Linked DNA regions of Saccharomyces cerevisiae S288C. Changing the gene in region 1 together with any one later gene gives a genetic interaction. Each region holds a gene or a part of one and is shown in the gene's direction. Other genes may lie near its edges.

Region 1 (4,270 bases):
TATCAAACTTACTTTTGCTTTTATTGCAGATATCTCGTTATTTCTGCAAAAACAGCATTCATTGGTAATGACAAGGTCAATTTTGGCTTTTATACATTTCACATGTACAGGATAGTGGAACACATTCCAAGGAGGTGAAGAACGTCCCCTTTGATACTTCCATACAAGGACGATTAAAAATACATAAGAGAACAGATCTGCAAAAATGCGTTTTACTTCCTTTACAATCTCAATGCCGATAAATAAGCGCAATGAAGATTACTCAGCAACTGTATGTTGGCTCATGCGAAATATGAATGTTTCATTCGAGATTACTTATCTTGTTTAACGCTTGAACAGCGTACTGTAACTTCTTGCTACAGAATGATGGACCCCATTATAATACTACCGCCTTGCGAATGCGCAATTTATTATGATCATGAACCCTGAGAAATCAAATGAATATTTAAAGTGTATGCAAAATGGACAAGAACATTATGGTAACATTGTCTACGACAGAATTTATTTTCTGACTTTAATAGTGACGGTTATACGAAATTAATGATTCTTCGAGAGGCAACTCACTTTACTGCAAATGGACCTGCAGAGTTTGCATCTAGAGGACAATATGCTGCACAAAAACGACCAATATTTACCTTCAACGAAAACAACCTTAAGAAACCCCTTCAACAACAACGCAGCTATCGTATCGTAGTGGTCTCCATAATGCGTGCACCTCCTTTAGCACTTATCGAGTAATAACATACGCTAGATAAGTAAAGTGTCCAGGATATTATAATTATATGATATTTCGGGAATGGTTTCTATATCTAGTTTTTTAACTTAGCCTAGACATTCGCCTCGTATTATAAAATACATGAAAGTGACTTGACTGCTTCATGAGAGTTATACTAAGAGCATTCATAACTAGAAGACACATTTTAGTTTTTATTACTGAGTAAGGGTTTAGTTTGTACATACAAGGCAACATGAAATTCAAGGTGCTGATGTTCAGTAAAGCCGCCTAGCTTTACGTGCCGAAATATTGATAATATGTCTCAGCCACTTCCTGGCTTAACTATTTAAATGATATTTCTGCATCCATCGGTATGGCGCACAATAAACGGTATCTGAGAATATCGAAAAGAACACCACAATACTACTGAGTGCAAACACAGAAGAGCGTAGGTGATTCAACTAATTGAGTTAGAAACTGCATCAACGCTGCATAATAAAGATGCTGCTGTTCAGGATCATTTTTTTTAAAGACTGAAAAAAATTGCTTATCGCTTTGCACGCGACTCTTTTTTCTATTATTTGAAAAATAGCTTAAGGGAAAAGAAAAGAATAGGTAGCTTTCAAAGCAAGAACCTCTACGATAAAGGACAAAGCTAGAAGCAAACACCGCAAAAAAAATGAGACCCGTTGTATCCACTGGTAAGGCATGGTGTTGTACCGTCCTATCGGCATTTGGTGTAGTAATTCTTTCCGTCATTGCTCATCTCTTCAACACAAACCATGAATCCTTTGTAGGATCAATAAACGATCCTGAAGATGGACCTGCGTATGTTATATTTTCTTATTTATTTCGCCGTTACCCATTTACCATCTCTTATATCTCTCCTCCTTACTAACAATTATATTTTAACCCTATTGTTTATAGTGTTGCACATACTGTTTATTTGGCTGCCTTGGTATACCTCGTGTTTTTCGTATTCTGTGGGTTCCAAGTTTACCTAGCCAGAAGAAAACCTTCGATCGAGTTGCGTTAGTCTTGAAGCCAATAGGATAATACCAAATGCATTAATATCGTCCAACTGTTCTATATACTTATCGTAACCTCGTTCCATGTGACATTCTTTTTTATTACACTTTTCGACAATAGCGAATTGAGTGAAATATTATGAAAGAATATATAGTATAAATATATACATTTATATATGAATTCTAATCAATAAAAGTCACAGTAACCAGCTTTTCCTAGCTTTTCGAAGTTTCGGAAGTATGACAAAATATGAGCGTGACCCTGAATTGGTGAACTTTCTATCGAAAGTGGAGGATTTGAACTCTAAGAGATACAGTAATATTCCTAGTTCAAAACCAGCGGGGGAAGCGCTTTCACCAGTTAGAAGTCACAACTCTGGGGAATACAGAAGGGCTGATATGATGACAGGGAAAAATGTGGAAGGTTGCGACAATTTGGCCTACCGATCTGCGTACAATTATGAAATGACGTTTTCTCCAAAGAAGACTCATTACTCATTAAGTGAGCTGAATCTCGAACGAATAACGCCAAGGCCGGATTTGGAGGGAAGTGCCTCTCAAAAAGAAAAAAAATTTTTAATTTCTGAAGAAGATTATTTATTATTGCAGAAATTGAAAGCCTCTCAAACATATAATGATTCCAATGCTGACAAAAATTTGCCTTCCTTTGAAAAAGGTCCTCGTATGCCCAGTCGGGGTCGACCCAGACCGAGAGAGAAGGAAATAATCACCATCCAATATGATTTTGAATTACCAGGAAGAGCCGATATACCCTCCTCCTCCTCTTCTTCATCACCACCGCCTTTGCCCACAAGGCGTGATCATATCAAAATCACAGATGGGAATGAAGAGAAACCGCTTCTTCCAACAAGGCCTAACAAAGCAGAAGTTACAGAAAGTCCGTCATCAAGGTCAATAAAACCGGATGCTGTGGTACCTGAGCGCGTTAAGCCTGCTCCACCTGTCTCACGCTCTACAAAACCGGCGAGCTTTTTAAGTTCTTTGGAAGATAACAAATTGACAAAGGCGAAGAGTTATAATTCGGAAATGGAAACTCCCAAAACAACTGTAAAAAGTTCTCATATCGATTACTTGGATTCCATACAACTAAAACCAACCACCTTATCTCCTACAATGAAAAATAAACCTAAACCAACCCCTCCTTCTCCACCTGCGAAAAGAATTCCAAGATCTGAAAGTTTTATCAAGTCTATGCTAAACTCGAATCTCACGACAACTTCCAAGCCTTCTTTGCCTGAAAAACCTCAAAAGCTACGGAATGCAAATTTGGCCGCCCATAAGACCAAACCAAGCATACCGCCAAAGAAAGTGGAGTTGAATATAGTATTACCTGAGCTACGTCCCGTAGAAACTTCTCCAACAAAGCAGAACTTCGAAAACTCAATCGATTTGCCCAAGTTACGATCCAGCAACCGTAACATTAAAAAAGAAGAGGAGGACAGTATTCCAGAAGCAATAAAAGGTATACAAAATCTGAAGAAAACCAAACAGCAGAAGCCTGCAATCCCTCAGAAAAAATCATTTCTAACAAATAATTCGAAAAATACTACACTCAAAAATGGTGATGATATTAACAAGTTAAATGACGAAATTGAAGCTCTATCATTGCGGAATAACCTGAAGAAACGGCCACCAACGGCGCCACAACGTAAAATTTCTTTGCCAGAGGCATTGCGAAAAGTCGAATTGATGAAAAAATCTAAAACCGAGCCTGTTTTAGAGTCCTCAAACGAACTGAGCATAAACGCAAAATTAGACGCAATAATTGCCTCTAGAAACTTAAGAGCATCTAATACTCTACCAGAACTTAGCGGTGTTAACACTAATATTGCAACTTCTGACAAGTATACTACTTCTAGAGATGAAACAGTGAAGGAAACTAAACCATTAGTTCACCCGAATAAAAATAGGACTCGTGGTCCCAGAAGAAAACTTCCAACACGCGTGTAACTACAGAGTAGACCTCCGTATTTTACACATGTATGTACGTACATATGATGTAACAATAATATGATAATTTAATGGGATACATGTATTATCGTCACTTCCCACGTTTGCGCTTTGACATTTGCTCCCCTTATGAACCTGAAGGAATATAAATCATCGATCTTTTTGCTACACTTTTCCTCCCTTATTAGAAAATAGCAGTAAAATTACAGGCTATTCAAACCCTGAAACATCTCAATTATGGCTTGGACTAGTACATTACCAGCGCATCTACTGAACCTGATCAAAAACTCCAAATATGTTCACGTGGCCACCTGTTCTAAAGACTGCATCCCTTCAGTGGCATTGATGAACTATATCTATGTGCCAGGTGAAAAACTGTTCGGTCAAACAGATAATAAGAATGACTACATTATATTTGTTTCTCCTCAGGACACACAAAAGTTTTACAACATCAAGGAGAACCCTAAGGTCGCCCTGTTGTTTCACGATTGGATCATCGCGAATAATTTGTCAGTGGGCAAGGAAAGCATCTCTGGGACTCCGACGCCGACTTCTA
Region 2 (3,653 bases), on another chromosome or scaffold:
CCCAAGATGACTATCCGGAGGCAGTTTTCTTGCCTACTAAGGAAGATCAAGAGTTTTTCTGGAACAACCTTGATAGTATCGATGCTTTCTCTGTCGGTGCTCTTCCTGTCGCCTTGGCAAATGTCACAGGTAACAAGGTTGATGTTGGTATGGGTATCAAAGATTCATTACCACTATTGTTGGCTGCTGTTGAAGAAGGTAAATTAACCATTGATGATATCGTCCTTCGTCTGCATGACAATCCCGCTAAAATTTTCAACATCCCTACTCAGGACTCAGTTGTCGAAATTGATTTGGATTATTCTTTCAGACGTAATAAGAGATGGTCACCATTCAACAAAGATATGAACGGTGGTATTGAGCGTGTTGTCTATAATGGCGAAACATTAGTTTTGAGCGGTGAATTAGTTTCACCAGGCGCCAAAGGAAAATGCATTGTTAATCCAAGTCCAGCTTCCATAACTGCTTCCGCAGAGCTCCAATCTACTAGTGCTAAAAGAAGGTTCTCGATCACGGAAGAAGCAATCGCTGATAATTTAGATGCCGCGGAGGATGCAATTCCAGAACAGCCTTTGGAACAAAAATTGATGTCTTCAAGGCCACCAAGAGAACTTGTTGCTCCAGGCGCCATCCAGAATTTGATCCGTAGTAACAATCCATTCCGCGGAAGACATATATTGTCTATCAAACAATTCAAACGTTCTGATTTCCATGTGTTGTTTGCTGTTGCACAAGAACTAAGGGCAGCTGTCGCAAGAGAAGGTGTCTTAGATTTAATGAAAGGCCACGTTATTACTACAATTTTCTTTGAACCATCTACTCGTACTTGTTCTTCATTCATTGCTGCTATGGAACGTTTGGGTGGTAGAATTGTAAATGTTAATCCATTGGTGTCTTCTGTCAAGAAAGGTGAAACCCTTCAAGATACTATCAGAACTTTGGCTTGTTACAGTGATGCCATTGTCATGCGTCATTCAGAAGAAATGTCTGTTCATATCGCCGCTAAATATTCTCCTGTTCCAATTATTAATGGTGGTAATGGTTCTCGCGAGCATCCTACGCAGGCCTTCTTGGATTTGTTTACGATTCGTGAAGAAATCGGTACTGTTAATGGTATTACTGTTACTTTCATGGGTGATCTCAAACATGGTAGAACCGTACATTCATTGTGTCGTTTGTTAATGCACTATCAAGTCAGAATTAATCTTGTTTCTCCTCCGGAATTGAGGTTACCAGAAGGATTAAGAGAAGAGCTAAGAAAAGCTGGCTTACTTGGTGTTGAGAGCATTGAATTAACCCCTCATATCATCTCAAAGACCGATGTTCTGTATTGTACAAGGGTCCAAGAAGAAAGATTCAATAGCCCTGAAGAATATGCACGTCTGAAGGATACTTATATCGTGGACAACAAGATCTTGGCACACGCCAAAGAAAATATGGCTATCATGCATCCATTGCCTCGTGTAAATGAAATCAAAGAGGAAGTGGACTACGATCATCGTGCTGCTTACTTCAGACAAATGAAGTATGGTTTGTTCGTCAGAATGGCTTTGTTGGCCATGGTCATGGGTGTTGATATGTGAATGATAAGAGACCTATCCGTATTTTAAATTTATAATCTATTATTAAACTTTTTTAACCAATATTTTTATTTGTATATTACACTCAATAATATGATTTCCCAAAGTCGAGTTTTTATTTAAAACAAAAGATGGAATGATTTTGTAAACAAATTTTCTTGAGGAAACAAAAAATGTTTAAGGCATAGGAGTTGAAGGTAATCTCGTTCCTTTTGTCTAGTTTTCATCCTGAGCTCTTGAATTTTACCTGAATTTTCCCGCGACGGTAAGAACTTTAAGGGTCTAAAAAAGTAAGTTCAGAAAACTATAACAGCTATATATCACAAAATGCATACCTGATGCATACACAGTAAGGAGGTAACATCAGGTCCGTGGATATGTTAAAAGTTCCTTTGAGTGATGTTCTTTCACAGAAGATGCTGTTTTTAAAAAGTTTTAGATATTTTCATTGCACAAAATACTTCAGCAGAGACAATGCATCATCTACCACAGATATATTTCGCAACGCAATGAAACGTAAACGTGAGCTGGCAAATCTTAAAGAGCAAAGTCATGGAAATGTGGCAAGAAATGCTGCTTTTCCTAAAGAGTATATTAAGCGCCCGAAACAAGTGCCAAGGAATGCTACTAACAGGAAAAAAATCCTGATTACTTGGAGCACCGGGACAGATCGAGCTAAAGAGGCAGCTAATTCAGTTGTTAGTGAGATATTCAAAAAAAATCACAAGGGAAACATCAAAGTTGTGGATCCCACTACCCACCGAATTGAAGCATCCAATATTCGGTATTTTGCCAAGGGCATTGATCTCGATAAAGTTGGACTCAGTATTGTTAATGTAGAGCAAATCGATAATGAAAATCAAATTCCACTTGTTAAGATAGTCGAAAGTCGTGTAGCCTTAAAAAAATATTCAGACTTTCTGGCTAAAAAAAAGGAAAAGGAACTGATGGAATTGGGAGTACTGAATAAGTCTTACAAGAATTTGGTGACTGATAAAAAAGAAGATAACTTGAAGCATATTAAAATATCATGGCAGATTGAAAGCGATGATTTAAAAAGGCAGAAGGCTCACGAAATAGTTTCGCTATTGAAAAAAGGGAATAAAGTAACGTTATATCTTGATGACAAGAATAACATAAATTCAAACAATTGGCTTGAAAATTTTGAGGAGCTGGACCGCTCTCAAAAAGGTGAACCACCCAGGCTACCAGAATCAGTTTTCCAGAAAAGAGCTGCTGTCTTGGAGACATTGAAAGAGATAGTTAGCGAATATGCTAATGATCCTGTTCTGCTAGGTAACATGAACTCGAAAATGATAATGAAACTTATACCAAAGGACGTTAAACCACAAAACAACGATAAGAGGGCGTTAAAGGAATTGAGAAAGAAGGAGAGGCAAGAAAAATTGCAAAAAAGGATTCAGAGAAAAAAAATGAATGAAATGTAAATAGAAGCAAATGACATCAGAATATATATAGCGCATATTGCCAAATATGCTTTTCAAGTATTAAATTAATGTAATTGAACTAAACCGATGCTTGTACATAATAACTTATCATTAAAGTACCAGGATTCTACCGGTTAGCTGCATGTGATCAAAATTTCCATACCCATATTGGGGAATGCCTACTATAAGGTGATTTTGGGGACCCAAAATCATGCTATTACCAAAATTTGACACACCCTTGCTACTTTTGTCAGGATTTATGAGCATGAGATGCCTTAAATTATTAATCAAAAGGGTTTTGCGCTTCGGATCGTTTCCCGCCTTTAATAGCTCATCCATACTAATTTTCCATATACTTCCTCTTGCATCGAAACTGCCTGGGGAGGAAACGTACAATTTCTTTTCTTCGTCATTAAACAGCAAAGATGAACCAAACTCATCCGGGATTGAATCTGATTTTGTCTTAATCTTTAGAACCAGTTTTAAGAAAAACTCTATTTGCCCAGACTTCTCAATATATATAAACACAGTGTCAAACATTGGTTGAGATACGGCTACAAAACTCATACCTTCAAAATTCCAAGAATATATGGCTGCACCGAACATACCATGTTCTTTTGAGGGA
Region 3 (2,994 bases), on another chromosome or scaffold:
CTCAGTCATGTCTTCCTCGGTCATTTCTTCTTCTGCAACGACCTCCACTTCTATATTCTCTGAATCATCTAAATCATCCGTCATTCAAACCAGTAGTTCCACCTCTGGTTCTTCTGAGAGCGAAACAATCTTAGTGATTGCTGGCATGTCATTAGCGACAAGACGCTTATTACCGTAGTAGCCCCCCAAGGCAAACATCTCTTTATCAGTAATATCCAAAGCTGTTCAACTTCTCGAATTGGCCCAGGAAAAGAGCATTGGGGCGGCAACTAACTCTGGCATACTTACAGTTTCTGCTCTTGACAGCGCTAAAAAAGGGCTTGTTTTGTAATGCCCGGTTCGCAATTCTACAAGTACCACGCACTAGCTGCTAAAAGTGTCTAACCTTGCGAACAAATCTGGACTTTCTTATGAGAATCCCATCGTCAAGAAACAAAATTATACAGACAGGCGTAAATGTAGCTCGTAAGCGCCTGATCAAGTAAGCCAAATGCGCTAACTTGAGGAAATATAGCCATCTAAATCTCTGCAACATGCCAATTCGCACGTGACTTGAAACTATGGAAAGTGTCTAGAAGATTACCAAGAACCACGTTATTTGAGAGAGGATGGCAAGGTGACGACAATCACACCAAGACCACATTTTGGGTGCGCCTGGAAGCAAGACCTGAGAAACTGGGCCAAAATATTCAAACCAAGCATAAGATAGTTGGAGGTAGGAATACACTATCTAATCTGTGCTGATGAAATGCTGGCGAAAACGGGCGATGTAGTGGTACAGAAGGTGCCGGTTATCCGTTTGTCCGTTTTTCTTCATTTTTTTTTTGTTTTTCCCTTTTGTCTTTTGCACCGCTTATATATGGGTATGAAACAAGTTCAAGAATTTATAATGGAACCCAAAGGTTCAGTCTTTGTAGTTCGAGCGACATTGCGCGTTTCCTTAGAAAACGCTGGAAAGATATTCTTTAACGAGACGGAGTAATTCTCGTCAGGAATAGGATGTTGATTGATTTTTGCTGTAGTTATATAGCAGGGACCCACGGAAGAGAGCGAGCGCCTTCTTTCACAGGGACTTTTGTCAGCCACGTCTCCGGGGAAAACAATTGCCGTCCGCGTCGCAGTGAGATTACGCAGCCGTGCGCTTCAGGGACAGAAAAGAAGCATTTCGCGGCTACGGAGAAACCGTGCACTAACTCTCTCGAGGGTAGCCGCAAAGATTTCTTGTCTCTTCCATTAGGACATAGCTATCTTTTTCTTTTCTGTTTTTGGCGTATGATCTGTTCTGAGCCAAAGTTATAGATCATTGCTTGAATAAGCACCTCACAGAGTAGGGATTGTATAGAAAGTAGCTGAGCGTCTGCCCACGTAACAAACAATCTTGCCCCTTCCCCGCTCTTGTTTTCGCGTGCCTCTTCTACAATAATCTGGCCAGGCTGAATCGCGTTCTGCTGCTGCTGCTGCTATTGTTATTGTTGTTGTTGTTGTTTTGGCCAATTGCTTATGTGTTGGTCTGCAAATTAGCACCTCGTTCCCTGTTGGCAAACGCGCGCGTACAAGCCTTACAGGGCTTGAGAATGTTCTTCGTAGAAATGCATGCACAAAAATTCTGATCTAGCACACCATCGGTCTCTGTAGCTTCGGGCTCTATAGCTATGGGTTAGGAGTCCGTGAGTAGTAACAAGAAGAAGTATATAAAAAGCAGGTAAATCGTACTTCAATATGCTTCATTGTCACTGGATCGTCATATTCACTCTTGTTCTCATAATAGCAGTCCAAGTTTTCATCTTTGCAAGCTTTACTATTTCTTTCTTTTTATTGGTAAACTCTCGCCCATTACAAAAAAAAAAGAGATGTTCAATCGTTTTAACAAATTCCAAGCTGCTGTCGCTTTGGCCCTACTCTCTCGCGGCGCTCTCGGTGACTCTTACACCAATAGCACCTCCTCCGCAGACTTGAGTTCTATCACTTCCGTCTCGTCAGCTAGTGCAAGTGCCACCGCTTCCGACTCACTTTCTTCCAGTGACGGTACCGTTTATTTGCCATCCACAACAATTAGCGGTGATCTCACAGTTACTGGTAAAGTAATTGCAACCGAGGCCGTGGAAGTCGCTGCCGGTGGTAAGTTGACTTTACTTGACGGTGAAAAATACGTCTTCTCATCTGATCTAAAAGTTCACGGTGATTTGGTTGTCGAAAAGTCTGAAGCAAGCTACGAAGGTACCGCGTTCGACGTTTCTGGTGAGACTTTTGAAGTTTCCGGTAACTTCAGTGCTGAAGAAACTGGCGCTGTCTCCGCATCTATCTATTCATTCACACCTAGCTCGTTCAAGAGCAGCGGTGACATTTCTTTGAGTTTGTCAAAGGCCAAGAAGGGTGAAGTCACCTTTTCTCCATACTCTAACGCTGGTACCTTTTCTTTGTCAAATGCTATTCTCAACGGTGGTTCTGTTTCCGGTTTGTAACGTAGAGACGACGATGAAGGCTCTGTAAATAACGGTGAAATCAACCTAGACAATGGAAGTACCTATGTTATCGTTGAACCAGTTTCTGGAAACGGTACAATCAACATCGTCTCTGGTAACCTATACTTGCACTACCCTGACACCTTTACTGGCCAAACTGTTGTATTCAAGGGTGAAGGTGTTCTTGCCGTTGACCCAACCGAAACCAACGCCACTCCTATTCCTGTTGTTGGCTACACCGGTAAGAACCAAATTGCCATTACCGCCGACATCACTGCTCTTTCTTACGACGGTACTACTGGTGTCTTAACTGCAACCCAAGGTAACAGACAATTCTCTTTTGAAATTGGTACTGGATTCTCTAGTTCTGGCTTCAGTGTCTCCGAAGGAATCTTCGCAGGCGCCTACTCATATTACCTAAACTATGACGGTGTCATCGCTACAAGCGCCGCATCCACATCCGCATCCACTACCTCTGGTGTTGTCTCTACTGCCACTGGTTCAGTCACTTTATCCTCTAACGCTTCTACCA

The links.
Region 2: mutations in BSP1 (region 1) and AIM23 together harm fitness more than expected from each alone (negative genetic interaction), as found in Saccharomyces cerevisiae (one large-scale study listed by BioGRID).
Region 3: mutations in BSP1 (region 1) and YAR066W together harm fitness more than expected from each alone (negative genetic interaction), as found in Saccharomyces cerevisiae (one large-scale study listed by BioGRID).

The regions. Positions count from the first base shown.
Region 1 is NC_001148.4:881,845-886,114, forward strand, and holds BSP1 (Bsp1p), read left to right. Parts: upstream 1-1,983; coding exon 1,984-3,714; downstream 3,715-4,270. Other genes in the region: YPR170W-B (uncharacterized protein), read left to right, coding at 1,395-1,543, 1,643-1,751; YPR172W (pyridoxal 5'-phosphate synthase), read left to right, coding at 3,952-4,270. UniProt on the Saccharomyces cerevisiae protein: Recruits the capping protein complex to actin patches and the actomyosin contractile ring, and/or stabilizes their interaction. May serve as an adapter to link INP52 and INP53 to the cortical actin cytoskeleton. Binds F-actin.
Region 2 is NC_001142.9:163,653-167,305, reverse strand, and holds AIM23 (Aim23p), read left to right. Parts: upstream 1-1,957; coding exon 1,958-3,028; downstream 3,029-3,653. Other genes in the region: URA2 (bifunctional carbamoylphosphate synthetase/aspartate transcarbamylase), read left to right, coding at 1-1,583; YJL132W (uncharacterized protein), read right to left, coding at 3,140-3,653.
Region 3 is NC_001133.9:219,199-222,192, forward strand, and holds YAR066W (uncharacterized protein), read left to right. Parts: upstream 1-1,850; coding exon 1,851-2,462; downstream 2,463-2,994. Other genes in the region: YAR064W (uncharacterized protein), read left to right, coding at 1,000-1,299.